Linked DNA regions of Danio rerio. The protein of the gene in region 5 interacts with the protein of the main gene of each other region in a pairwise test. Links are inferred from orthologs where the notes say so. Each region holds a gene or a part of one and is shown on either strand. Other genes may lie near its edges.

Region 1 (3,500 bases), on a different chromosome or scaffold from region 5:
TAAAATGTCTAAACTAGAATATATTACAATATTTTCCCAGTATTGTGCAGCCCTACCATACCATACACATGCTGGTTTTCATTTTCGAAACTTTTTAAAAATGGCGAACAGACATTTTGTTGGTAAGTGGTCGAAAGAGCATTAAAATCTCAATGGTGATTGTCTGTGAGCTAAACAGTAAGGGCAGTACATTTTGTATATTCAGATTTTTTATTAAAACAGCGTCAGTCTGGGAAAGACATCAAAAATTGGGTCTGACCCGGAAAACAGGGACATCTGGTCATCGTACTGCAATGACATCTGTTGCTTTGCAGATACTGCACAGATGACGTGCTGCTCCGGGAAATGATGTCAGACCCTCTGTTGGAGCAGTGTGGTGTGGTGGTCCTCGATCAGGCCCAAGAACGCACCGTCAGCACAGACCTGCTTCTCGGACTGCTCAAAGACGTGCTCCTGACGCGGCCAGAGCTCCGGCTGGTCATCCTCAGCGCTCCGCACTCCTCAGAGAAGCTGCTGAGACACTATGGAAGTGTTCCTCAGATCAAGCTGGAAGGACCACAGCCATGCGAAGTGCTGTTTGGTAGTGGGAGAGGAGGAGTGAAGGATTACCTCTGCTCTGCTCTTAGACTCGCTCTGGAGATACACCAGAATGAAAACCATGGAGACATTGTGGCATTTCTGGCAACTGAGCAAGTGAGAGACATTTAAACGTTAAATAGATGAGACAATGCTGGGCATTTACAGGTGTTTACGTTTTCGTCACATTTTTTAAATATTTATTCTTTATTTTATTAGTAAACAAATTAATTTGATCAAATAGAAAATAAAAAAACATGTAAAAATGTTTGATATTGATATGTTATATTTCTTTATTTTTAATAAAAAAAATGTAAAAAATATATTTAAAATAAAATAAAAATTGATAAATAAAATAGAAATTTCAAGATTATTTTTAGCATTATTTTATTTATAAAATAATTAAGAAAATTTTGTTTGTTTTTATAATTTCTAATGATTTGACATTTTTGAATATATATTTAATATATTAATAATAATATATTTAATCAGTATAGTTTATGAATATATTTAAAAAATCTATAATATAATATAATAAATTTTAAACCTTATAGAAGTTAATGCTTTCTTTTTGTTTTATATTTTTAAATGGAGATTTATTATAAAAATTCTAAAAATTATACATTTTAGAATTAAAATGGTAAATTACAAATTATAATATGTATGAATTAAATAATTGATAATATTTGATATAAAATAATATAAAAAAATTATATAATTAATTATTTATAAATAATATAAATAATTAAATAATTATAAAAATTCTTAAATCTAGTATACTGTAGAATAACAAAAATAAATAAATAAATTCTATGGTAATTAAAACTTTTGTTTCCCGTTTTATTTTCAAGGAGATTGAATGTGCCCATGCCATTTTGCGGAGAGAGGGTGCCAATCTCGCTCTGTCTCATGGAGAGCTGGTGCCCGTGTCTCTGTGCCCAAGGCAAGGTGACAGTCTCTCACTGACTGAGGAGAGCAAAAGCAGGAGAGTCTTCCTCACCTGCAGCCCCAGCGAAGATCTCTTCTGGGCCCTTCACACCATTCGCTTTGTGATTGATGCTGGAGTGCAGAAAAGATATGTACGTAGCAATTTTGTTTTTATCGGGACTTTTACAGGCTAGTCTTTCCTTTAATTGTGTTAAGTACTCTTGAGTGAAGGTCAAAATGTAGTATATGTAGTAATTATACCAAAAATACGTTGAAAGTGCTATACTTCATATAGTTCAGTACTACTTGAAATTAAATTGGCCGCTAAGTTTATAATCAGCTCCTTTTTTCCTATTTTGATTGGTGGCCATAAAACAGTGATGTTTCATTGTGACAGGTGTACAATCCCCGAATCAGAGCCAACTCAATTGTAATTCGACCAATCAGCAAGAGCCAAGCTGAGAGCCGCAAACAACTCGCAGGCCCAACAGGTAAGCACCTCTTTCTACATTTGTAAGAAATAACTAACTTCTAAATAACATTAATGCATTTGTAAAATTGATTAAATATTTCCAAATGCTGCTTAAAAGACTCCTTCAAAAGAAAATAAAAAATACAAATAAATTTTAACAGAAGTGTACTACTTAAAATAAAAATGTTTCATCCAATTAGTTTTTTCATGCACTGAATCCTAAGCCTGACATTTTCCATTTCTGCAGGCAAGTGCTTCTGTTTGTATCAAGAAGACACTTCACTTCCTGCCGAGAGCGTCCCACACCTTCTAGAGTCTGACATCACTTCCACTGTGCTTTTCCTAAAGCGCATGGAAATAGCTGGTTTGAGCCACTGTGACTTCATTGACAGACCAGGTGAGATCCTTCTTATACAACAGTAACGTTGACTTTAACTATTCTGTTAACGGTAATGGAAAATTATTGCTGAATAAACACTACTTACAGTAGCATAATTTAACTGACCAAACTTTTCTTTAATTTGCAATATTTGATATTCTTCTGCACAGTTGGCAGTCTCACATGAAAAATGCTTGTGTTTCTGGCAAGCGTGTTAAGTATAAAAGTCTTCACAGGTCTCAGCTGTGCAACCACACTCAGTGGAGGCTCGCGCTAAGGGCACATATCTCATAGCACATAGCTCGCGACACAGACTCGTGCACACACAGCTCATAAGCTTGCGGAGTGAATAAAATGGGTTGTATTTCCCAAGTGGACAGCGACAATGCCTGTTGCAACAAACGCAACAAGTTATTGTCTTGTATAAGCGGAAACGCAAGCAATCTGGTATGTAAAAGTATCTTTCAAAAGTGCTTTAACTGCAAAAAGACAAATTAAAAGTTTTTGACTGCCTATCAACTAACGGTAACATTATATCATCCACATCGTTATGCCAGCAGTCAATAACCTCAATTAGTATGATATTAATAGTTAAATAAAAACACACATTTGGTTACAATGAAAACAGTATTTTTTCTGCTTCAGTAGCATAAATAAATCTTAAACATTAAAAATGCTTTTACATCAGCTGCATTTACAAATATAGCCTGTAAATAGTCTAAAAATAAACTATGCTTATTAAGAAATTATTTAAAAAAAACTGCTTATTTTTACATTGCAAGATGCTCCAGAACTGTATAAAAAACACAGTTAACTCCCAAAACACTTTTAAATCATTTATGTGAATGTGTTAATAAAAAATCACAAACATTATCTCATTTAACTGCATTTTGCATCTCAAAGAGGGTGTGCAGGGAGCACAATAAACCAAGAAAGATCCCGATTTCTGCCATAAAAGGCAAACATGTCTACTTTTCTTCAGAAGAATGGTTAAAAACTTATTTTCCTTCAAACCATTAAAAAAAAAATTTTACAGGTAAAAAATATAATTTGTTTTACAATTATTGTTTTTGTTTTATTTTACATAAAAAATGTAAAAATAAAGTGTTGTTAATTCTGTTACATTTTTTTTTGTGTGTGTGTAAA
Region 2 (4,188 bases), on a different chromosome or scaffold from region 5:
TATTGTATAACGATAGTTTGTTCTGTAGACTATTGAAAAAAAATAGATTAAAGGGGCTAATCATTTTGTTCTTAAAATGCTTTTTAAAAAATTAAGAACTGCTTTTATTCTAGCTGAAATAAAACAAATAAGACTTTCTCTAGAAGAAAAAATATTATCTCAAAATCTGCAAAAATTTCTTTGCTCTGTTCAACATAATTTGGGAAATATAAAAGAATAAAAGAAAAAAAAATTCAAAGAGGGGCTAATAATTCTGACTTCAACTGTATATATATATATATATATATAATTTAAAAATTAAAAGTCATTATTGACACATCTTGTAACTGACTGAAATTAAATTTAGCTGCCTTCCATTTGTGTCTATTCGACCAGAGAACTCTAATTCTGCTAACATTTTATACTGATATATATTTGATATTCTGCTAAACGTAAGTAACTCTGCAACCACATTTTGGCTTGATCTACTAATTCTAGTGCAACACTGTGCTAATACTATATACTCTAATGAGTTTGTTGGCACATAGTTACTAAGTGATAGTTTGAAATATGTATAAGTGTACTATCCAAATAAAAATTTTTATATTATTATATTAAATAAATAACCTTTACTTTTCTGAAGAAAAATAAATAATCAAACTGTAAACTATTTTTAGTGTGGGCTAGGGCTGCACGATATTGGAAAAATCTTATATTACAGTATTTAATTTTTCTACGTTAAATATAGTGATATGAATACCGTTTTACAAGATGGTTTGACTAGCTCTGTATGATGTTTCTTTTTCTGGGAAGTCTAACAGTATTCAGGTACAGAAATTAGAATAAATACTTTTCTTTGTCTCATTTCAAGTACAAATATCTAAAGATTAAAATCAGATCAAGTAAATTGTTTTGTTTCCACCTTTAGAAATCTGCCAATGGGGTATGTAAAAAAATTGGGTATGCAAAAAAAACAAAAAACGTTTTGCTTTAAAATGTAGATATTTGAACTAGAAACAATACAAAAATTCTAAGTACAATTGTTTATTATATAAATCATATAAATAACAAAATCAATTAATCTTTTTTTACACCTCCAAACTTCATAATTTCTTGTGCCCAAATTTTAAATCCTCTTTAAATGCAGTCACAGGCCTTAAAAAACATGCTTTATACTTTTATATTTACTAAATTTTCACTCTACTATGATTAAACTTAACAGTGACATTACAAATCACGTGTTCTGTAGTCAACTATGATTTAGACTCAACATTGCAGATCTTGCGAAGTGACAAAATTCTAAGCATAATAGTTTTAATAACTCCTCTCAAACAACTGAATTATTTTATCTATGCCATAGTGACAGTAAATAATATTTTTCATAGATATTAAGACACTTCTATACAACTTAAATTGACATTTAAAGACTTAACTAGGTTAATTAGGTTAACTAGGCAGGTTAGGGTAATTAGGCAAGTTATTGTATAACAAAGGTTTGTTCTATACACTGCAAAAAATTATTTTCTAATTTAGATTTTTTTTATCTTGTTTCTAGTCCAAATATTTAAAAACAAAATAATATGCCAAAATTAAGGTTTTTTTTTTTTAGTACAAGCAAAATAATTTGCCAATGGGGTAAGCAAAATAATCTTGTGACAAAAGGAAAAACAAGATAATTTTGCTTTCACCATTTCACCAGACTATTTTGCTCATTTTAGGGAAAAACTCATTTAATTTTGGCATATTATTTTTTTAAAACAAGTCAATAATTTTTCTTGTCAAGAAAATATTACTTGGTTTAGGGATTTTTAGATATTTCGCCTAAAAAACAAGATAAAAGATGTAAATAAGAAAAGCATTTTATGCAGCGTAGTAGACCTTAAAATGATTTTTAAAAAATTTAAAACTGCTTTTATTCTAGCCAAAATAAAGATAATAAGACTTTCTCCAGAAGAAAAAATATTATCAGACATACTGTGAAAATGTCCTTGCTCTGTTAAACATCATTAGGAAAAAAAAATTAAAAGAAAAAAAATTTAAAGGAGGGCTAATAATTCTAACTTCAACTGTACATTAATATACTTTTATACTTTGGCTCTTTATAAACTTTTCTTTTTTTGTCTTCAATTTTAAAGACATACATGTCCATTTCCAGATATTAAAATGTGCAATTTTAAACATGATCTACATAGGAGGATTAACTGTTACCCAGTAATCCTAGTAAACTAGATTAACGGTACTCTGTAAATATACATACATAACATTTAATATTCTGGCTTTCACTTTCATTCATGTTCGTCTTCAAACTTTCTAACACTAAAAAAATATTATTTCCATTTTGTATAAACATAATGATGACAACATAAATAACAAATAACACTGAACAATCAAATTTAGTTAAATCAGGTTTTTAGCGCTCTCACACGAAAACAAGAAGCAGAAAAGTACATAAATAAGTCATTTTAAGTATTTCGACATGATTCGATTGATTTCATTGAGTGATAATAGTTGCTAGTTTACCTTAATGTGTACATCAGCCCAAGCATGAATGAAAATACATGCATTTCCTCATGTTAGCATACAAGCCACAGCGAACAAACGCTTTATTTGATGTGTTTATTAATAAACAGAGGTGACGAAAACTCTGCGAAGGTCAAAGCACGCGACAATTACAGACTAAAGGGAATTTGCTGCAAGTCTAAAATTGTTCTCGTTGATGCTTAGGTCAGCTCTCTATGGGTCAGCTAAGCTAACAAGCTAAAGCAGCATAGCACAAGCATAAGCTTTGCGCCCCCACAGCTATGATCGTTTCCATGGCAGCAGAGTAACAACATCCTTTTCTGCTGCTGGATGAGTTACCGCGTTTACAACCTGACGTCACATATACTTATTTAGAAAAGCGGAAATTACGAGTTCACTTCTGATTAAGCTCAATTTCTGGGATGCATGACTGTTATTTCCCTGCTATAAAAGCAGCATGCTTACCGTAAAGTTATAAAATTCTTATGGGGTATTTGTTTGAAATGAAACGTGTTTAATAAGTGGATGTAATTAAATTTAATTAAGTGGAAAGTTTATGTAATTTGATATTGAATATATTTATGTTTGGGTCAAAATGTTATGTATACACTGACAAAGCACTTAACTATGTAAGTGTATCACGTCTGGTATGCTTGCATAGTGTACTTCCTGCCAGAGTTGTTATGACAAGTTAAGACTTAATTTTTTTTCAACCCAGTGATATAACTTCTCTTGAGGCGTACAGACGGCACAACAGCAGCTGACGCAACATGAAACAAGACACCTGATTCACGTGGTTTCTACCTGCCTGCTGTCACGTTCTAATTTGGTGAAATGATGCCTATTCTCTTATCATAAGGGTGCTTTAAGCACATATAAGATAAATGTATATGCTAAATACATTTTAAAACTGTGCGATCATAATTATTTCCATATATAAATAATTTTTTTTAGATAAAATTATTTTTTACATAATTATTTTATACTCAAACCCTGTTCAGTAATTTTTTTTGTTTTTTTTGCAAAACCATCAGCTGTCTATATGACATTATTAAACTACCAAACAGATTTTAAATTGTATATTAGGGTCATGACAATAATATATATACAATATATAATAATTATATATAATTAAATATAATTATACAAAAAAAAAAAAAAAAAAATATATATATATATATATATATATATATATATATATATATATATATATAACTGTTTTTGTAAAAACTGTTTCGTAGAATAGAATATATTGTGAATGAATATGCTAAAATATACTTTTTATTATTCATTCTATTATAATCTTATATTCATGTAACATTCCTTTATTCTCTTTGCGGATTAGTCCCTTTATTAACCTAGGGTTGCCACAGCGGAATGAACCGCCAACTAAACCCACACTGGAAAACATTATGTTATGTAATATAATGAAAAAAAAATTAAATTGAATATAACTTTTACTATACACCGTGGATGATTCAGTTTATATGCAGGGGTGGACTTAACCAATAAGCAGCCGCTTAGGGCCCTGGGGAATTAGGGGGCCACAACCAGTGCCAAGAAACCTATATTAATTATACAGCCCCTTTTTAAAAATTTTCTATCATATGTTGTGAAATTTGACTATAAGCATTAAGATTTTAACGGTGTTACTTTTTTTAAACCCTGGGGCCTCCATAGTGCAACGTT
Region 3 (4,281 bases), on a different chromosome or scaffold from region 5:
TATGCATCAACTATTTTTTAATTTATTGTTTGTGTGTACACAAACACACACACACACACACACACACACACACACACACACACACACACACACACACACACACACACCTTCATTTAGACAATAACGAAAATATAATTGTCAGATTTATTGACAATTATATTTATCAATACAATAAAAACAGTAATATTATAACAAAATAATGTGACTTTCACTTTTGTATTACAGTAATATAGTAACAAGAACTAAAGGAAATATTGATTTGTCATAATCTAAAATGTTATAAATCATTCTGTAAAACATTCTATTTTGGTGACAAAAATAAGATATTTGTATACAAGTAGTAAATACACACACACACACATATACTGATATTTGAATTTTTTTTTCTTAAAAAAACTATATTTATTACAAATAATTATAAAATTATTTCGAATTTATTTAACTTTTAAAACATATTTGGCCTCTAAGCAACACTAAAGGCATGTTACACTAATAATGAAAGCTAGACTCACTTTAACTGGCTGTTGGACTGAATGAGCTCTTGAATTAAACCTTGTCTCCTTTCAGAATCCGATAGCATCGTCTTCAACATCAAGCGGACATCAGAGGCAGACTTTCGCTCCAACAAAACCAACTCTACAAACACAAAACAAGTATCACCATTAGTTCTTTTTTTCAGTTATTGTCAATGACTAATATCTAAACTACTATAATTCTTATTGTATACTTGAAAGATATAATATTTGCGAACAGTTAAAAAAATAAAATAAATATAAAAAATAAACGCAAAAATTAGGACTAAAATCATATTAGAAATGTGTTAATAAATTTAATCCCATAATTTAACTTCAAACTTTAATAATCCAATAATTACATTTTTTTCATAGTTGCAGCAACAAATTATTAAAATGAGATAACCTGCAAGGTTCTTGTTTTCCTTTGGATCTGCAAAGCTGACAGGTTTAAACCCGTGATGCTGCAGCAACCTGTTTACAGCGTCCCATTCTCTCTGTTCTTCCTGCAAAAGCATGACATATGCAGCGTGCATTAACAACAATAATAAACTAATGCATGGAGAAACAACTGTAAAACTATCAGAATCTCCACTTTTGTGCTACCTGAAACTGGCTGTAGGTCCACAAAAACACATATGTTTTGTCCCTGGATTGCAAAGCTTGTCTATCCATGCTCGTCAGTGAAAATCACAAATGAATGATGAGCTATTGCACTATTTTAAGCATCTACTTGTATCTTCTACTTTTTGTCTGACTTGATCAGGGTCTGTCCACCCACAGCAGATGGAGGGAACAGACCCAGATCAGATTACTATCCCAAAGAACAATAAGAAACACCTCCACACGCTGGAAAGACAAAAGGGCTCACCTGCTCCATCCCGATCAGAAGCCCTGTAAGAGAAAACACATAGATGCTGAGTTTGCACTTTATTGAAATTGCACTTTACCATTTTAAAAGGACACTATATACTGTATAAATCCAATTTAACAATGTTTATATACTGTCCAACCTATATCATAACTGTCCTAATTTAAACTGTAATGTAGTAATATATTATAACTGAAACAATAATTATTGTGAAAAGCGATACACAGATAAACTTGAATTGAACCGAATTAATGTTTTTTTTTTTTTTTTTTTTTTTCCACTTTCGCCAATTGGTGCAGTTTTTTTTCCTCGCCGCTGACGCCACTAGCTTGCATGGTTTGGGATCTGTAGACCTGCGCATCGATGGATTGCTCTTCAGTGTTTGGACTAAGTAGTGATTATTAAAACACTGATCTGAGCTAAACTGAACTGAACTTAAACTTTGAAAACTGAAATACACCATTTCAATTTGCTATGATCTTTTATGTGAAGCTGTTTTGACACAATCCACATTGTAAAAGTGCTATTCAAATAAAGGTCACTTGAATTGAACTTAATAAAATGACATGTCATTGGCAGATTTTTATTTTTAAATGGAGATTTTTGTAAAACAGAAATAAAAAATGCATTTGAAGTGAACTGAAATTTGCTAGCAAGAATACTTTAGTTAGGTAGCATACTATTTATGTAATGTTTGTGACTTCCGAGCAAGGTATTGCGTGCTTATACCATCAAATACCTTTTTTGGTAGGAGTTTTGTATGTTGTTTAAGATTTTACAATAAGAAAAACTATGTGAATATATCTACTTTGACGATTCATCTGTAATTGAATGTAACACTTGCTATTTTGTGAGGTTTACGTGCATTTTCTGAATGAAAACATAAAACAGGGCAACGTTGTAAAACATACGTACACAATCTTTGTTTACTGTATAACTCTATAGATCTACGTCGACGTTTCATGTTTAATATAACTTGCTATTTTGCGAGATTTACACGCATTTTCTGAGTGAAAACATGGGCTAAGTTGTAAAACGTGTACACAATCTTTGGCTTATAACTCGATCTATAACTCACAATACTACCATGTTCACCAAGATAAAAACCCTAGTATAACATTCTTAGAAGTTAATATAATTTTAGGGGCCACAAAGTTAGCGAAACATTAATAAAAGGGGCTAAAACGTGACAGCACACGGTAGATACAACATACAAACACTGAAAACGCTACATGAAAAATAAGGTCTACAAACGCGGCTAATACATTTCGTTTACGTTAAGTGTTTTGAGCAGTATTATTCTAAATCATACCTTAAACCACAGACGAGCTAAATTGTAGCAATTAAATCTTCAATTTATCGTTTTATAAACAAGAAAACTCGAGTGTGTTTATTGATTCAAATAACAGCGGAAACTGACACCGACGAAGTGCTTCCTGGATTTAGACCAATGGGAGAACTGAATGAGCTAGCCACGCCTACAACGTAGTTTGCGCCACTGTACTGACGTTTCCCTCTTAAGAAAAAGTGGTGTTACAACAAATGTCCACCAGATGGATGCAAAGAATTAACTTTTGAATATGGGCTCCCTACCAGACTCTTATTATGTAAATACATTGTAAAATATTTATTATGAACAGTTGGCATTTTTAGTGCAACTAAATGTAATTACATATTAAAATGTACATAACTGGCAAACAAGACTTCAGCAGATATGTTCCACAATCTTTCAAAACATCCTTTCAGGTTAGTCATTTTGAACAGACAGCATTTACTAAGCCTCTAATCTCACTTCACAGATACTGCTCTTCAAAATTTACGGATTCTGTGGCATTTTGTGTTGCTCTTTTTGCTGCATGCTGTGTAAAGGGCAGCTCTCCGTATGAAGGTCAGCATGCAAATCTCAGCACCGTCTGCAAATAGAGAAAGAGAGAGAGAGACAGAACTTTTGGGAATCTTTTTGTTTAAACAGTTTGTGTCTGTAAAGCCAGTTTTCCTCACCCAGGTTTCCAGAAGCTGTATATGAGCAAATGGTGAGAAAACATCAACAGAACTTCCAAGCAGGTTTTATCACCAATATAGGTAAATATATAATTACTATTATATTATATAGGAAAATTACTGGACCAATGTTTCAATATGTTGCGTGTCAGTCTTGAAAATAAAAATAGGTGCTGGAAAAAGTGCTTAAAAGTCCTTGATTTTCATTAAGCGCCTGTATGAACCCTGTCATATGTACTTGCAACATATATTTCATAAGTGTATGAATGTGACAATGACATATAGCCTATATTTATGAGGTCCAAGCAACAATTTCCATGTTTTGATGAATAGGCTACTATGTTAATACTTTAGATTTAAGTAAAACTTTTTTTTTTTTTTTTTTTTTTAACCTGCAAGCACAGTTAATGTTCACACTATTTATAATGTTTAAATTGGCTGACAATTATACATATTCATAATAATAGGAAATAATCTGCCTCGTTTTTTAACTGTGCACAGCTGTAGCTGCTTAATTAGGCCCACAACACAACTATATTTTAATACTGGTCATTATGTTGGTACTTGGAGAGGAAAAACATTTATGAGGTGGTACTTGGTGAAAAAAGTTTGGGAACCACTGCTATAGATGAATTACCATGTTTGTAAACATTCAGGATGCACGCGCAGGAGGTTGCAGAAAATAAAAAATCCACAGCGTTAACATTTAAATCAAACAGAGTTTGTTGTTGTATTAGAGATATATATATAATATATAATGTTGTTGTATTAGAGATACATATAATATATATGTCTTAGATATATATATATATATATATATATATATAATAGAAATTACAGTATTAAAACAGCTTGTCACCCAGTAATAAGCGCAGTTATTAAGCAAAATTAACGTTA
Region 4 (3,500 bases), on a different chromosome or scaffold from region 5:
TTCAGTCATTAAATTTCTAAGATTATTTTACTTATTAAATAGACACTAGATCTCATTTTAAATATTAATATATAATCTATCATATTGTGCTACAGTATATTATGCACTAATAAATAATAATTTGTCTATGAAGATACTGTTATCTTAATGTTAAAAGTTAATGTTAACAGAGCTTGCCATACCCAATGCACTGAAAGGAACTCAATGTTTGCTCAAAAAGTGAAAAATTCCTAGGGTTTGTGTTAAATGTTGGAATGTGTGAACGTACTCTCCTCTTTTATGTGGGTATAATGTAAATGACGATTCATACGCACATTGCATGTGTATAAAATATATTTTCTTTTGTCCAAATAAATCGAAACACAAATAAATTGAATGTCAAAAGCAAGACAAATAGCAAAAGGTGACACATCCAGAGTGAAGCATAAACACATTCATTCATATATACAATATTTTATTTAGACGCTGTTTATGTTTGGCCTGTGACTGATAATTTGTTTTGTTGAAAATAAATAAATGAGTCTGTTACACATCACAAAAAGTAGGTCGCCTGGACTCCATGCAGCATAAAACATAAAATCATATATGTAAGCCCTGGCATTGACTAAAGTCTGAAAACTGAAGTCAAAGCAAGAAATCTGGCAGAATTACAGAGTGAAGTTCCATTAGATCAGCTCTGTATCAACAATAACTGATCACGCTGTCATCGTGCCCATAAAAGCCTTCTTGAAATAAGCTAAATATACTTTCAATTACAGAAATATACTTGTACTTTTATAAAAGCAGTAATATTTAATACTTTATATATATATTTTTTTAAAAGACAAAGTGTTTTATTTGTACAAAAACGCACATAGATTCCCTTATGAAATTTCAACAGACCTTAAACCGCCAATAAGGCAGCTCTGCCCATTCACACAATCACACACAAATCTATCATCACTTTCCACTTGCTTCCTCGTCGCTGTCGTCCACTTCCTGGATTATGAGATCGGCTCCAGAATCTTCCGCTAGATCATCATCATCCATGACCCATGTAATTTGCCTGTTTTCACTCATGTCCTCGTCCACACCCAACAACAGGCCTTCCTTGTCCTCATTTCCATCTGTTTCATCTGTGATTAAATCATTGTAGCCGCTCTCCTGAATGCAAACGTCACAGAGCCTGTATTTGCGGGTCCCTTCACTGACCACACGTCCACTGACTTCAGTTACATGCCGCTTACACTTCCTGCAGACCAGCTTACGGGCCTGATGAATCTGTCAGTGTGATAAATGGAGAAGGTGTATTTTAGATCTCATGTCAATCTAAATTATTCATTTGATGGACAGAAACATTAGCCAAATACTAATGTACTACATTGTACTGTAAAAAATGCTGGGGGTCCACTAGGCATAGGATGATAACCGGTTTCAAGGTTAACCGCAGTTTAAAAAAAGTCAAGGTTTTAAACACCAAAGTTTTCTATTATACCAATCCTAAGGTATATGAAAGATTTTTTTCGTTTTTTATTTTTACACAACTATTTTATTTTTTTAGTAAAAGTATTTAGTTTTTAGTAACAGTATCTCCAGCAGAAAAGGAACCTCTACATTAAAAGCTACTGTTCCAAAAAGTTTATTAAAATAACATATATTGTGTTCAATGGGGTAAAAAAAGTCTTTGTCAAAATCTTACTAGGTTTCACACAAGTCTTTCATGTTGTCCCAACACAAATCGATTACATTAACTTTGTTATTTTACAAATTTAGGCGGATTGAATATAAAACAATTAAGTTGTCCCCAAAAACTCAAGAATTGTGATTTTTCAGCTCATTTTAAGTAAGTAAGTTTGTAGAAGCAGCAAAACCCTTTTTGTTGAAGTATATAGAAAGTCATTTTAAAATTTAATATTTAAAATGAAATACTACTGTTTTTAAGCTAATTTATTTAATAAATACTAATACTTTCTTGGGCGAGACACTGGCGCAGTAGGTAGTGCTGTTGCCTCACAGCAAGAAGGTCGCTGGGTCGCTGGTTCGAACCTCGGCTCAGTTGGCATTTCTGTGTGGAGTTTGCATGTTCTCCCTGCCTTCGTGTGGGTTTCTTCCGGGTGCTCCGGTTTCCCCCACATACCAAAGACATGCGGTACAGGTGAATTGGGTAGGCTGTGGGTAGTGTGTAAGTGTGTGTGTGAATGTGTGTGGATGTTTCCCAGGCTGGAAGGGCATCCGCTGCGTAAAAACTTGCTGGATAAGTTGGCGGTTCATTCTGCTGTGGCGACCCTGGATTAATAAAGGGACTAAGCCGACAAGAAAATGAATGAATAATACTTTCTCATTAGATACAGGTATCTTATTTTTACACTGTAAAGCCAATAAGTTAGAATAACTCAAACCATTTGAAACCGATTGCAACAAACCATTTAAGCTAACCCTAATGAGTACTGTGAATGTAATCCATTTGAGTAAATGAAGCATTTTGAGCATAGCAAAACCTAAAAATGTCCTGAAGTTTGTTCCCTTAAAATTTTAGGTTGAGTCAACATTTTTGGTAATGTTAGTTTGCGTAATTCCTGCTTCAGTGAGTAAAATGTATGGGTTCATCATTTGAATTACATCTAATTTATTCATAAAATTAATTTGCGTTTTAAGTGATTTGTGGGATAGGCTATTTACTGTATTCTGACCTGATTAGGTATTTCGGCTTATTTTAGGACATACTATACAAATAATGCATCTAATCTTACGCTACTTTTAGGCAATATCTAGAAACCAACACCTATTATATGAGAACACATTGTTTTCTCCATGTCTTGTGAACGTTTACGGTGTCTATCTGTGCTCTAAATCTGCTGGTGTTAGACTAATTGGTGCGATTATGCATTCACAATGGTATGAGGTGGTCAAATGGATGTCTATTATTTTAATTATTAACATAATTTTTTAAAAAACAGATCAGACATCAGAACAGATCAGACCAGACACTGCAAGTATCTGAAAAATAAGTACATTTAAATAACATTTAGTCATTTAGCAGAATTTATAATATAGTCAGGGCAACGCGGTGGCGCAGTAGGTAGTGCTGTCGCCTTACAGCAAGAAAGTTGCTGGTTCAAGCCTCGGCTGGCTCAGTTGGCAATACTGTGTGGAGTTTGCATGTTCTCCCTGTGTTCGTGTGGGTTTCCTCTGGGTGCTCCGGTTTCCCCCACAGTCCAAAGACATGTGGTACAGGTGAATTGGATAATTAGGCTAAATTGTCCGTAGTGTATGAGAAAGAATGAGTGTGTATGGATGTTTCCCAGAGATGGGTTGCGGCTGGAAGGGCATCCGCTGCGTAAAACATGTGCTAGATAAGTTGGCGGTTCCTTCCACTGTGGCGACCACGTATTGATAAAGGGACTAAGTCGAAAAGAAAATAAATGAATGAATCATATAATCAGCTTGCCATATAAGCATATTTCTACAAGATGTGAATTATTGACCAGCAGTGCAGGATGTCATGTGGAGGTGTGAACGGA
Region 5 (2,737 bases):
GTTAGTCTCGTGTAGAAAAACCGTTGTTTTGTAAGCAGATATTTGCGAGAGACTGTGACCCAGCTCCTCGCCAGTCTCATGCATCACACGCAAGACCGGTTGAAACCGGTTCAGACTGGCATATTCCATCTCGGTTTAGTTTTCAGCCCGTAGCGCCGCGTAAAATTCGGACTGCAGAAACGCCCTCTTCAGCAGCTGATTGGTCGGAGGGGGCAGCGCGGATTGCTATTTCGCGTGTGATTGGCTTACAGCGCTGTATGTCAGGGTAAACCCCACCCAGCGCGTCTTTTTGCCCTTGGTCTCATGTGCAAGGCGGGTTTTGCATCACAGCGTGAGCGTGAGGTGGGCTGGACCGCGTGGAGCATGGAAAATTACTGAGATGTTGCCTGCGATGTACAAACAGTAACTGACCATGATGTGTATTTTTAGGCCGTGGCTCATGTTTAAAATGTTTTATATGTGCGTGTTTATATTTAAGAAGTAAATAGAGAACGAATGAATATGCTGTAAAGTTTATTTTCACGTATTAAGTTTTATTTTCACACATTTGCATTCCCACACATGCAAACACAGTCTTTTGATTGGTAATACACATCATAAAACAGTTTTTTGGCTCTTTTTAAAAGATATCTGATGAGTTGATAGACATTTATATTTACATATATGATATGTTCATCATTACTGTGTATGAAGTGAACAAGCTGCAAACACGTCGAGGTCATATTCTGCCTCAAACAAAACGAGAAATAAGTAATAACATTTAGACTATATTAATTACATTTATACACTATTTTAAAAAGATTTGCTGCATTGCAGGATGATACAGAACATTTCCAACCAAAGTATGTTAATCATGTTTATCTTAAACTTTTGAGGGTTGTGCTAATTATCTCTGTTTTTAATAGTGACTGCTAGTTTATTTTTCTTTATAATTGCTTAATAGAGGATTTTATTATTTAATGTACACCCATGCTCTTAAATACTTCTATTATTATTACTTGTTACCTGGTTGTGACAGGTTTATGAGATTCACTTTATTAAAAATGCCTATAATAACAACTTACTACTGAGGTTTTGCTTGGCTTAAATACGAAAATGACTTAAAATATGTCCCAAACATCTAATAATATATTTAGGAAAATACCAGTGTTCTCCACTAGGGGCATTTCTGTTTCTCATCACCTTCCTGATCCTCACACTTGTCTTTTCAGTTAACCAGTGGTGGACAGATTACTGAAAAATCATACATAAGTTAAAGTACCATTAGGCTACTTCCCTAAAAATGTAGGGCAAGTAGAGTAAAAGTATCTGTTGTAAATATTACTCAAAGAATAATTATAAAGTAGCCCTTTCAAGAGTATAGTGAGTATTACACTGTAAAAAGCAATTTACAGTAATTTGTGGATGTGTGTAAACGTAACATTCTGTAGTGCATTTAGTTATTGCCCAGCAGGAACACAACGTCATATGACATTAATATTAGGTTAGAGTTAGGTTGTGATGTCAGTTGAGCAAAATTCTATGTCTAGCCAGTGTCTAAGGATGTTATTTTGATGTCCAATAACAATGTTAAATGACGTTGATATTTGGTTGATTTTAGGTTGTGTTAGAAAGTTATCAAAATCCAACGTCAAGCTAACATCTTAAATCAACGTCAAATTGACATCAAATACTGACATTTATTCGTCAGGTATGGCAAGCAAAATACAATGTCTGATAGACGTCAAAGTGGTAACGTCCACACAATGTCAAGCTGTAACATCATTAGACGTTGATATTTGGTTGATTTTAGACTGGAAATTGACGTTGGCCTGACGCTGGGTTCAGATGTCAACCCGATTTTCATTTCCAAACAAAGTGTAACGTCCCCATGATGACGTCATGTTGACGTCTGATGCCTGCTGGGTGTTTAAGACCATTTCGGTCTTCATACGGTAAACATTTTTCATCTTCTCATCGGTGACATGCATCTAAACCGTCTCTGGGTCAATACTTGTAAAGGTTTTGAATATCTTCTTGGACACTTTTAATGCTTCCAAACAGTTTGCTGTGATTATAAATCGCCCATGTCTTGAGGTAGTTCATTATGATTTACTTTCTATGTGTGACAGGAATCACAGGACTGATTTTTCTAATCCCCATAGACAGGAAAAAATAAAGTAGTGACTGCAGGTTGAGGGAAAGTAGTGGAGTAAAAGTACCGATACTGCACTACACATGTACTCAAGGGAAAGTGAAAGTACACATTTTAAAAACTACTTAGTAAATTACAATTCCTGAGGAAAAACTACTCAATTACAGTAGTCTGAGTATTTGTAATTTGTTACTTTACACCGCTGCAGTTAACTAATTAACACTACCTGTTCTACTCCTGTTGCTGTGATCACTTCTGTCGCTACCCTTGCTGCTCTGACTGTGCCTCCTGATGATGTCATCATCCCCCTGACAGTCATCATCATCAAATTGCATCTCATCATCATCATCATCATCATCATCATCCTTTTCCTCATCCCCGTAGTCATGATGTTCGCTGTGTTTCCGCTCCTCATCTCCATCGACAAGTTCTGTCTCCATGTCATGGTCATACTCCTCATAATCATCCGGATAGTCATCGAGAAGAGAATCCTGCATGTCCGGAAGATCCTCATCATCCTCAAGTCTGTTTCTGCCATGGAAAAAGTAATGAAAAAAGTTGAGATTTCTGCTTAGGAGCAGTTTGGCTGATCACTTATATAAT
Region 6 (4,160 bases), on a different chromosome or scaffold from region 5:
TTTTCAGCTGATACTTCACAAACACACACACACACACACACACACACACACACACACACACACACACACACACACACAAACACTATAGGGACTTATTTTACATCTTGTTTAAATGAGTGTAAGAGGCCCCCTTTGAAGAAGAGAATATTCAACTTGTATCATCATTTTGGTATTGTCTTATATACAGTTGAAGTCAGAATTATTAGCCCTTGTTGATGTTTTTTTTCTTTTTTAAATATTTCCAAAATGATGTTTAACAAAGCAAAGACATTTTCACAGTATGTCTGATAATATTTTGTCTTTTTGAGAGTCTTATTTTCGGCTAGAATAAAAGCAGTTATTAATTTTTTAACTACCAATTTAAGGACAAAATTATTAGCCCCTTTAAGCTATTTTTTCCGATAGTCTACAGAACAAACCATCGTTATACAATAACTTTCCTAATTACTCTAACCTGCGTAGTTAACCTACTGTAATTAACCTAGTTAAGCCTTTAAATGTCACTAAGCTGTTTAGAAGTGTCTTTAAAAATATCTAGTCAAATATTATTTACTGTCTTCATGACAAGGATAAAATAAATCAGTTATTAAAAATGAGTTCTTAAACCTATTATGTTTAAAAAATAAAATAAACAAATAAAAAATAATAATAATCAATAATAATAATAATAAAACAGGGAGGTTAATAATTCAGGGGGGCTAATAATTCTGATTTCAACTGTATATAAAAAAAATTGTTGTTTGTTTGTAGTTTTCTGTTTGTAGATTTGCCCAGCCCTGCCACTTTAGTTTGAGCACTTACTTCTATACTGGTTAATTTGGTTCGAACAGGCACTCTTGTTGTTTTCCCTTGGTCTGAAGCATGTGAACGGCCCCTAAAAAGGGTAATGAACCAGAAGATGGCCTTTTGTTTGTCTTGCGCACACACTTCAAACATGATTCAATTTTTCCCCCCTGAAGTACCAGCACAAGACAGCGCCGATCTTCTATGTCCCCGAATCCTAATTGATCACTCTAGATTGGCACTGTCAGGTCTCACTGCGCCACATTCCCATAGTTGTCTGTTTCCATATTATGTTCTATCCATTGTCACACAGCAGGAGCATGATGGATGGCTTTGTAGGACGCAGTTCAACAGGGTCATCTTACCACGGAGGCGACCAATCACAGACCAGCTTCTTTATCCTCAGCAGTGCATTTAAAACATGTTTTGAGTTGATTTTCCTTATTTTGCATAGATGCAAACACTGTTGTTACATCATCGGCTAAGAGACGCTTAGCTGTCCGACTGCAGTGACAGATGGACACAATGAGAAAAGGGAGGGCGAAAGAGTGAAAAGCATTTTCTCTCTCGGAGTTATAGGACTACACCAGCATCGCAGGAGTTGGATGGGTTATGAATGGTTGGAGTTTGCCCAGTCATTTGGACCTAAAAACGGGGATAAAGACTATCAAAACAAGGCATTATGAAAGGAGTGGTCTGACCTGTGAGTTTTGTCCTGCAATCCAGTGACTGTAAAAATACAATAAAACCATTACTGACGCAAGTGGAGGTGATGATTTGTCAAAGTGCCAATGGAGATTACGACTGAGAGTTTCATGGTTACTCTTTCGATCGAATTTCACTGGAATACACCTGTAATCTTCTGGAAGATCTCCAAAGAAGAGGCGTGCAGATGGGGAAGATAAGCACCTAAATATTATGTATCCTGATTAAAGAAGCATTTATCATGCTGTTGGCTTACATTGTTTATCAGGCGATATCTTTATAGACGTGTCCAGGTAGGTTAAAATGGCTTTGTGGGGTTTAAAAGCAGATGTGCGGTAGTCGTCCCTCCCTCATTCTCTCTTGAACGAGATTGGGAGATGAGAAAGCCATCTCATTTGCTGATCAGATCACAGACAGATTATCAAGCCTAAGTGAGAGTTCTGGAGCTCGAAGGTGTTGGAATAACACGGTCTTACCTTCCAGGAGTTGTTGTTTGAGTGAAAACAGTGGTGGGAAGACATGCAAGAACTCAACAATACTTGATTCTAAACTGGCTGATCACCTTCACGTCGACCGATAAAGCTCATTGCTGCGCAATTCGGAAGAGTTTATATTACGACTGTAACTTTAACCAGAAGATAGTGTTCAGTGCTTGCGCTCACCCTGAAATGGGATCATCCAGAATCGCTTTTAAAGGATACTCCGTCTAAATGTGTGTGTGGAGACGTCTCCAGTAGTCAAGCCAGCATGTATGTTCTGTGCACCTTGGTGCTGCTGTCTCTTCACAACCTGTTTAGGAGACCCCGAGTCCTGGATCCCGTTGAACCCAAAGCTATCGAAAGCCCAGAGAAGCACAAACCAGATGTAGGCAAACACGGACGCAAGAAGAGAAACAAACACCACATTCCTGGAAGTTCTGGACCACTAGAGACTTCAAGAGTGCATGGGCAGAGTGACGTTGATAGATGCCTTGACGGATTCAGCAGCAGAGCGAGTAAAAGAAGATCTGTTCATCAGGATAATGTGCTGGAGAGGAGGAAGATAGCACAGGTGAGCGTGAACATGGAGGTTAAAGTAAAGAAAGTTGTTAGTTGAAGGCTGTTTGCATTGCAGCCATCCAGTTTAATGTTCACTGTTAACGATTTTTGTAAATTACACAGTATTTAGCTGTAATGTGAACTGTATTTTACTGTAGGACACTCATGCAGTATGTTACTGTATTTTAATGCTGCATTGTGAAAATTAGTGTATATTCTACAGTAAAGATTTACATTAGGGTTGGGCGATGTTGACCGATTTGGCATCGTACGATGTCTAATGTGAAACATCGTGATGGACGATGGCATCAGTGAATCATTTATTTATTCATAACAAATTAATAATTTGTAGCCACCCGTTGCGACTACCTGACCTGCATAGTCTTTGTTTTATACATAACCAAATCATAAATGAATAAAGATAAATTACACATAAATGACCAACCGGTCAATATTTTTTTTTGCGGGATTCTGGCATGAATAGGCAGAGTGATCTGTGTCATTATAATGGCGTCGAAAAACTTGGTTGGTAAAAAAAAAGGTGCACAACCAACAGGAACCATCCAACAGTATCTGAGGTTTAAGCTAGAATTACAATTTACTAAAAGTACAAGCGTGAAAGCGAAAGACTGAAGCAGTGTACTGACGCTGTGTTACCTGATAGATTCAAAAGACAGAGGAGTCGTTAGATAGAGACAAGATTAATTAAATATCAAGTTTAACATCTATAAGATGCAATCCAGCGGTACATCTTTAATAAATTGTCCAAAGTGCACTGCTCTCTGGGATTTTGTGCTCAAAGCACCCACTGACTGCCTAGAGCTCAGACGTGCGCAAATGCTGCAGCACATGCCATGTGTGTTCAGCAGTATGTTTTCAGAAGTGCTAGATAAAACGCCAGTGGATGTGGATCGTTTTCGTTCTAAAATGCCATTTTAATACTAAGATGTATTGGTCTAAATGGGGCCTGAGTGTGTAATTCTAGCGACGGGGGCGGGGCAGAGGATGTTTCTCGGCCTTTGTCGATCGACGATGGCATTGCCTATTGACCCAAAACTATTATACATACATATCTGTAAATACAAGATAAATGGTGCTGTAAATGTAAATACAGTCTATTTGCTGTACTTGATTTACAGTAAGTTACTGGTAAATTGCTGCCAGTATGTTACTGTAGATTCTGCAGGGAATTAAGTGTTGTTTTTGACCGATCAGTCCTCAAGCTGGAAGAGTGTAACTGATGAGTCTCTCTGCTACTGGAAAACCTCCATTTAATCCAAAATGCAATTATTTATTCATTGATTTCTTCTCATTATTTATGTGCGTTGTATTATTGATTTGAAGAAACCTTAGACGGCTTTAAGTTGAACATATTCCTTTTCTGAGTGTGTGAATTTCATCAAGTCTACTGGAGCTATTTTAATCAATCAAGTGCGTTTTTCTCGACTTTTCATCCTTATCCAGAATTTCTGTGATCAGCTGCTTCTGGTGGGAGTAATTCACTATGGGAACATTTTGTAAATGTTCTTTCTGCATAATACACACAGGGATTTTCATTTACCTGGAATCATGTTTATCCTCCCAATGTCCCATTTCTAATGTTCTCTGCAGTCTGATGGATCGTTTTAGCAGATC
Region 7 (3,455 bases), on a different chromosome or scaffold from region 5:
ATAAATAAATAAAAACGTAACTCAAAAATCCAAAAACTGACCACAGGTCTGTCTAAAGTGCATAGTATCACAGTGGTGTTTACATGAACGCCAAAACAAAAAGTGCTTGAGACTATTAGCTAGAGTGAGTGTGTTTGCGAACGCAGAGCCACGATTTGATCCGAACAAACTATTTACACAGATTTTCAAGCATATCGTTTACATTGACAGGAGCTGATTCCGCTAGCATATCAAAGCACTGAGGTAAAGAAGCAGCAAAACAGCAAACAGTATTGCTCGAATACAAGAGATCACCGTTAGTAACGTCATCGAAATCACATGCAGCATTTTCTATTATAAGTTAATAAGTATTGCATGTGAAATGTCTAGACACTTAAAATCTAAGGCTACATACACGGTCCTACTGAATTCCATTTTGTTTATATACGTATATATTTCTAATGTTTATCAAATGACTCTCATAAAAGAATATCTGGTTCATATTCCGTTATAAAAAGCTTGTCAATTTTTTTTTATTACTATTATTCCTGTAACAGTGTTTTCTCGCACAATCTTAGATTTTAAATTAGCGCATTAAATACTTCTCAGATATTTTTTTTTTTTACAAATTTAATTTGTGCATTAATGTAATGGCATTTAGATTATTATTTTTTTAAATATGCAAATAGAATTGGGGATATAAAGCTGTTGCAAAAAATTGGAGAAACCCATTCTAAGATTTTCTAAATGCATTATTCTCGATTGAATCAACTTTGAGCTTAGTGTTTAACAGCAGATGACGCTCTAGGCTAGTTTTTAACATCAGATAGGCTAGTTTTTAACATTAGCAATAGCAATTTAGGCATTTTTATAACAATAGTTTGAACTTTAGGTTAGTTTTTAGTATTAGATGGTGCTCTAGTCTTGTTTAACAGAAGATCGGCTAGTTTTTAACATTAGACTGCGATTTAGGCTAGTTGTTATCAATAGAGGGGGCTTTAGGCTGGATTTTAACATTTAATGGCAATTTAAGCTAGCTTTTAACAGCAGCTAGGCTAGTTTTAAAAAATAGCAATTTATGCTAGTTTTTAACAATAGATGGGACTCTAAGCTAGTTTTTTAACATTAGATGGTACTCTAGGCTAGTGTTTAATCATTAGATGGCACTCTAGGCTAGTTTTTAAAAAACATGGTGCTCTATGCTAGTTTTTAATCATTAGGTGGTGCTCTAGGCTAATTTTTAACACTAGATGGCACTCTAGGCTAGTTTTTTAATGTTAGATTAACAGTAGAAGGCACTCTAGACTAATTTTTTTTAAACAGTAGATGGCACTCTAGGCAATTTGTTTTACAGCAGACTGCGATCTAGGCTAGTTTTTAACATTAGATAGGCTAGTTTTAACATTAGCAATGGCAACTTAGGCTATTTTTTTAACAATAGATTGGACTCTAGGCTTGTTTAACGGCAGATGGCTAGTTTTTGACATTAGACAGCGATTTAGGCTAGTTGTAAACAATAGAAGGGGCTTTAGGCTAATTCTTAACATAAGATGGCGATTTAGGCTAGTTTTTAACAGCATTTGCTAGTTTTTAACATTAAATGGCAATTTTGGCTATAGCAGATAGGCTAGTTTGTAAAATTAGACAGCGATTTAGGCTAGTTTTTAACAATAGATGGGAAATGTAGGCTAATTTTTAACATTAGAGGGTGCTCTAGGCTTTTCAAAATTAGTCCAGAATGCCGTGTGTTGCTATAGCTAGCCTGTCTGCTGCTAAATACTAGCCTAGAGTGCCATCTGCTGTTGAAAACTAAGCTCAGAGCCGATTCAAGATAGAATAGAAATGCACTTCGCAATCGTAAAATCCATTCCTCCAAATGATTGCCACAGCACTAGGGGCATTCGTCATGAAGATAACGTGTAATTTCAAACACAACAACAAAAACGTTAAATTTTCCTAAAAAACTGGCTCAAATTTACAATGTCAATTGCTTTTTTGTTGTTTTTGTTGTATTTTTCGATGTAAAACCTCATTTTAGCAGCTTGTGTGAGGTTCACCAATATTATGGTATATCATGTACATCAAGTTAGTTCCATAACTGTGTTATGTAGTTGTTAGTACTAATAACAATAGTCTTCCTCCAAACCTGATGTATCTCAGGCGTCTGGTATGGCTGATTCACACAGCTTGTGTGTGTCGTTCATTAGAGTAAGACGTATAAAAGTAGAAAAACCCCATTCAGACCATTCAGGTTCTGGATGTGGACGGTTTGGTGTTGTATACTGTGTATAGGCACAGCTGTTATAGTGCAATAGACACACACACAAACACACTGTTAAATCACATTAGCAAGTGCAAAGTCACTACACTCAACTTAAAGGGACAGATCACCCAAAAACAATGACCATTTACTCATAATTTACTCAAGTGCTTCTTCTGTTGAACGCAAAACAAGAAAAATGTTGGGAAAAAGCAGCCATTGGCATCCATAGTAGGAACAAACAAATACTATGGATGTCAATGGATGTTTTCCCAGCATTCTTCAAGATATCCTCTTTTCTGTTCAGCACTCTTCAGTTCATCTTCCTTAGTGTTCAACAGAGGAAAGAAACCCAAACCGTTTTGCAACAAGCAAATGATGAGTAAATGGTGACAGAATTTCATCAGAATTTTGGGTGAACTCCCCCTTTAAAACAGCCACACCTTACTGGGCCTGCAAAGCCCTGTTCTCACTCAGGTCCTCTTTGGTCTTCTGAATGCAGGTGAAGATCTCTTTGAACAGGGCTTTGTACTCGGGCTGATGGAGCTGGTCGGAGAGGCAGGCGGTGTCTGTGGCGGAGCAGCTCTGGGATTTGGGCGTCTGGACGGCTTTATGGCTGAGGCTGTTGGCCCCGTGCTGGCAGCGGCGCAGCAGCTCCTCGTATTTGAGCTGCAGGGCGCTGTACTGAGCGTCCACCTCATTGAGCAGAGAGATGCCGCGCTGCTTGACGGCCTGAGCTCTGCGAATGCAGGAGCGCTCGTGTCCACGCCGGATCTCCTCCGCTCGAGCTCCTCTGACGTAACTATCACTGCTGCAGCGGCAGCGCCCCTGAGGAAACTCCGCCTCCTCCTCACATTCAGGCTCCACCCCCAGCCGCTCCTCTGCACTGAAGAAAACACTGTCAGGCAGCAGCGTGTCGGTCAGTCTGGAGCTGGAAGACTCGGAGCGCCACAGCAGACGCAGCTCCTCCACCTCGGCCTCCAGCTCCGCCTGTCAAAAGTGAAACCGCATGTCACAATGTGTGTCACATGTTACAAACACTAAAACCCAACCTGAAACTGTTATATAATGTCGAGCTTGATGAAAACACTCGCATTCTGCCTTTCAGCTCATAAAAATACTTTGGTCATTTGCAGAAAACATCATTAGCCTATGCAACAACCACATGTTTTTGTTTCATTTCATTTCAAATTCAACATCACTGAGTGCAAACAAA

The links.
Region 1: the proteins of fam161a (region 5) and dhx32b interact in binary tests that used the Homo sapiens proteins (3 or more experiments, as listed by UniProt). The two-hybrid records come from large-scale screens. The link is inferred for Danio rerio from reciprocal best matches to the Homo sapiens genes FAM161A and DHX32.
Region 2: the proteins of fam161a (region 5) and ccdc57 interact in binary tests that used the Homo sapiens proteins (3 or more experiments, as listed by UniProt). The two-hybrid records come from large-scale screens. The link is inferred for Danio rerio from reciprocal best matches to the Homo sapiens genes FAM161A and CCDC57.
Region 3: the proteins of fam161a (region 5) and cep70 interact in binary tests that used the Homo sapiens proteins (3 or more experiments, as listed by UniProt). The two-hybrid records come from large-scale screens. The link is inferred for Danio rerio from reciprocal best matches to the Homo sapiens genes FAM161A and CEP70.
Region 4: the proteins of fam161a (region 5) and zbtb8a interact in binary tests that used the Homo sapiens proteins (3 or more experiments, as listed by UniProt). The two-hybrid records come from large-scale screens. The link is inferred for Danio rerio from reciprocal best matches to the Homo sapiens genes FAM161A and ZBTB8A.
Region 6: the proteins of fam161a (region 5) and kifc3 interact in binary tests that used the Homo sapiens proteins (3 or more experiments, as listed by UniProt). The link is inferred for Danio rerio from reciprocal best matches to the Homo sapiens genes FAM161A and KIFC3.
Region 7: the proteins of fam161a (region 5) and cdr2a interact in binary tests that used the Homo sapiens proteins (3 or more experiments, as listed by UniProt). The two-hybrid records come from large-scale screens. The link is inferred for Danio rerio from reciprocal best matches to the Homo sapiens genes FAM161A and CDR2.

Annotation. Positions count from the first base shown.
Region 1 is NC_133192.1:34,050,585-34,054,084, forward strand, and holds part of dhx32b (putative pre-mRNA-splicing factor ATP-dependent RNA helicase DHX32), read left to right. Parts: intron 1-314; coding exon 315-693; intron 694-1,427; coding exon 1,428-1,655; intron 1,656-1,900; coding exon 1,901-1,994; intron 1,995-2,222; coding exon 2,223-2,372; intron 2,373-3,500.
Region 2 is NC_133187.1:35,270,541-35,274,728, reverse strand, and holds the start of ccdc57 (coiled-coil domain-containing protein 57), read right to left. Parts: upstream 2,801-4,188; 5' UTR 2,500-2,800; intron 1-2,499. UniProt on the Homo sapiens protein: Pleiotropic regulator of centriole duplication, mitosis, and ciliogenesis. Critical interface between centrosome and microtubule-mediated cellular processes. Centriole duplication protein required for recruitment of CEP63, CEP152, and PLK4 to the centrosome.
Region 3 is NC_133197.1:12,315,363-12,319,643, forward strand, and holds the start of cep70 (centrosomal protein of 70 kDa), read right to left. Parts: upstream 2,801-4,281; 5' UTR 2,696-2,800; intron 1,407-2,695; 5' UTR 1,393-1,406; coding exon of another isoform or gene 1,384-1,392; 5' UTR 1,188-1,383; coding exon 1,119-1,187; intron 1,019-1,118; coding exon 919-1,018; intron 637-918; coding exon 513-636; intron 1-512.
Region 4 is NC_133192.1:26,253,666-26,257,165, forward strand, and holds the end of zbtb8a (zinc finger and BTB domain-containing protein 8A), read right to left. Parts: intron 1,261-3,500; coding exon 940-1,260; 3' UTR 438-939; downstream 1-437. UniProt on the Homo sapiens protein: May be involved in transcriptional regulation.
Region 5 is NC_133176.1:57,130,454-57,133,190, forward strand, and holds the end of fam161a (protein FAM161A), read right to left. Parts: intron 2,666-2,737; coding exon 2,347-2,665; 3' UTR 501-2,346; downstream 1-500. UniProt on the Homo sapiens protein: Involved in ciliogenesis.
Region 6 is NC_133193.1:48,507,794-48,511,953, forward strand, and holds the start of kifc3 (kinesin-like protein KIFC3), read left to right. Parts: upstream 1-1,360; 5' UTR 1,361-2,235; coding exon 2,236-2,538; intron 2,539-4,160. UniProt on the Homo sapiens protein: Minus-end microtubule-dependent motor protein. Involved in apically targeted transport. Required for zonula adherens maintenance.
Region 7 is NC_133178.1:62,630,171-62,633,625, forward strand, and holds part of cdr2a (cerebellar degeneration-related protein 2), read right to left. Parts: intron 3,230-3,455; coding exon 2,684-3,229; 3' UTR 1-2,683.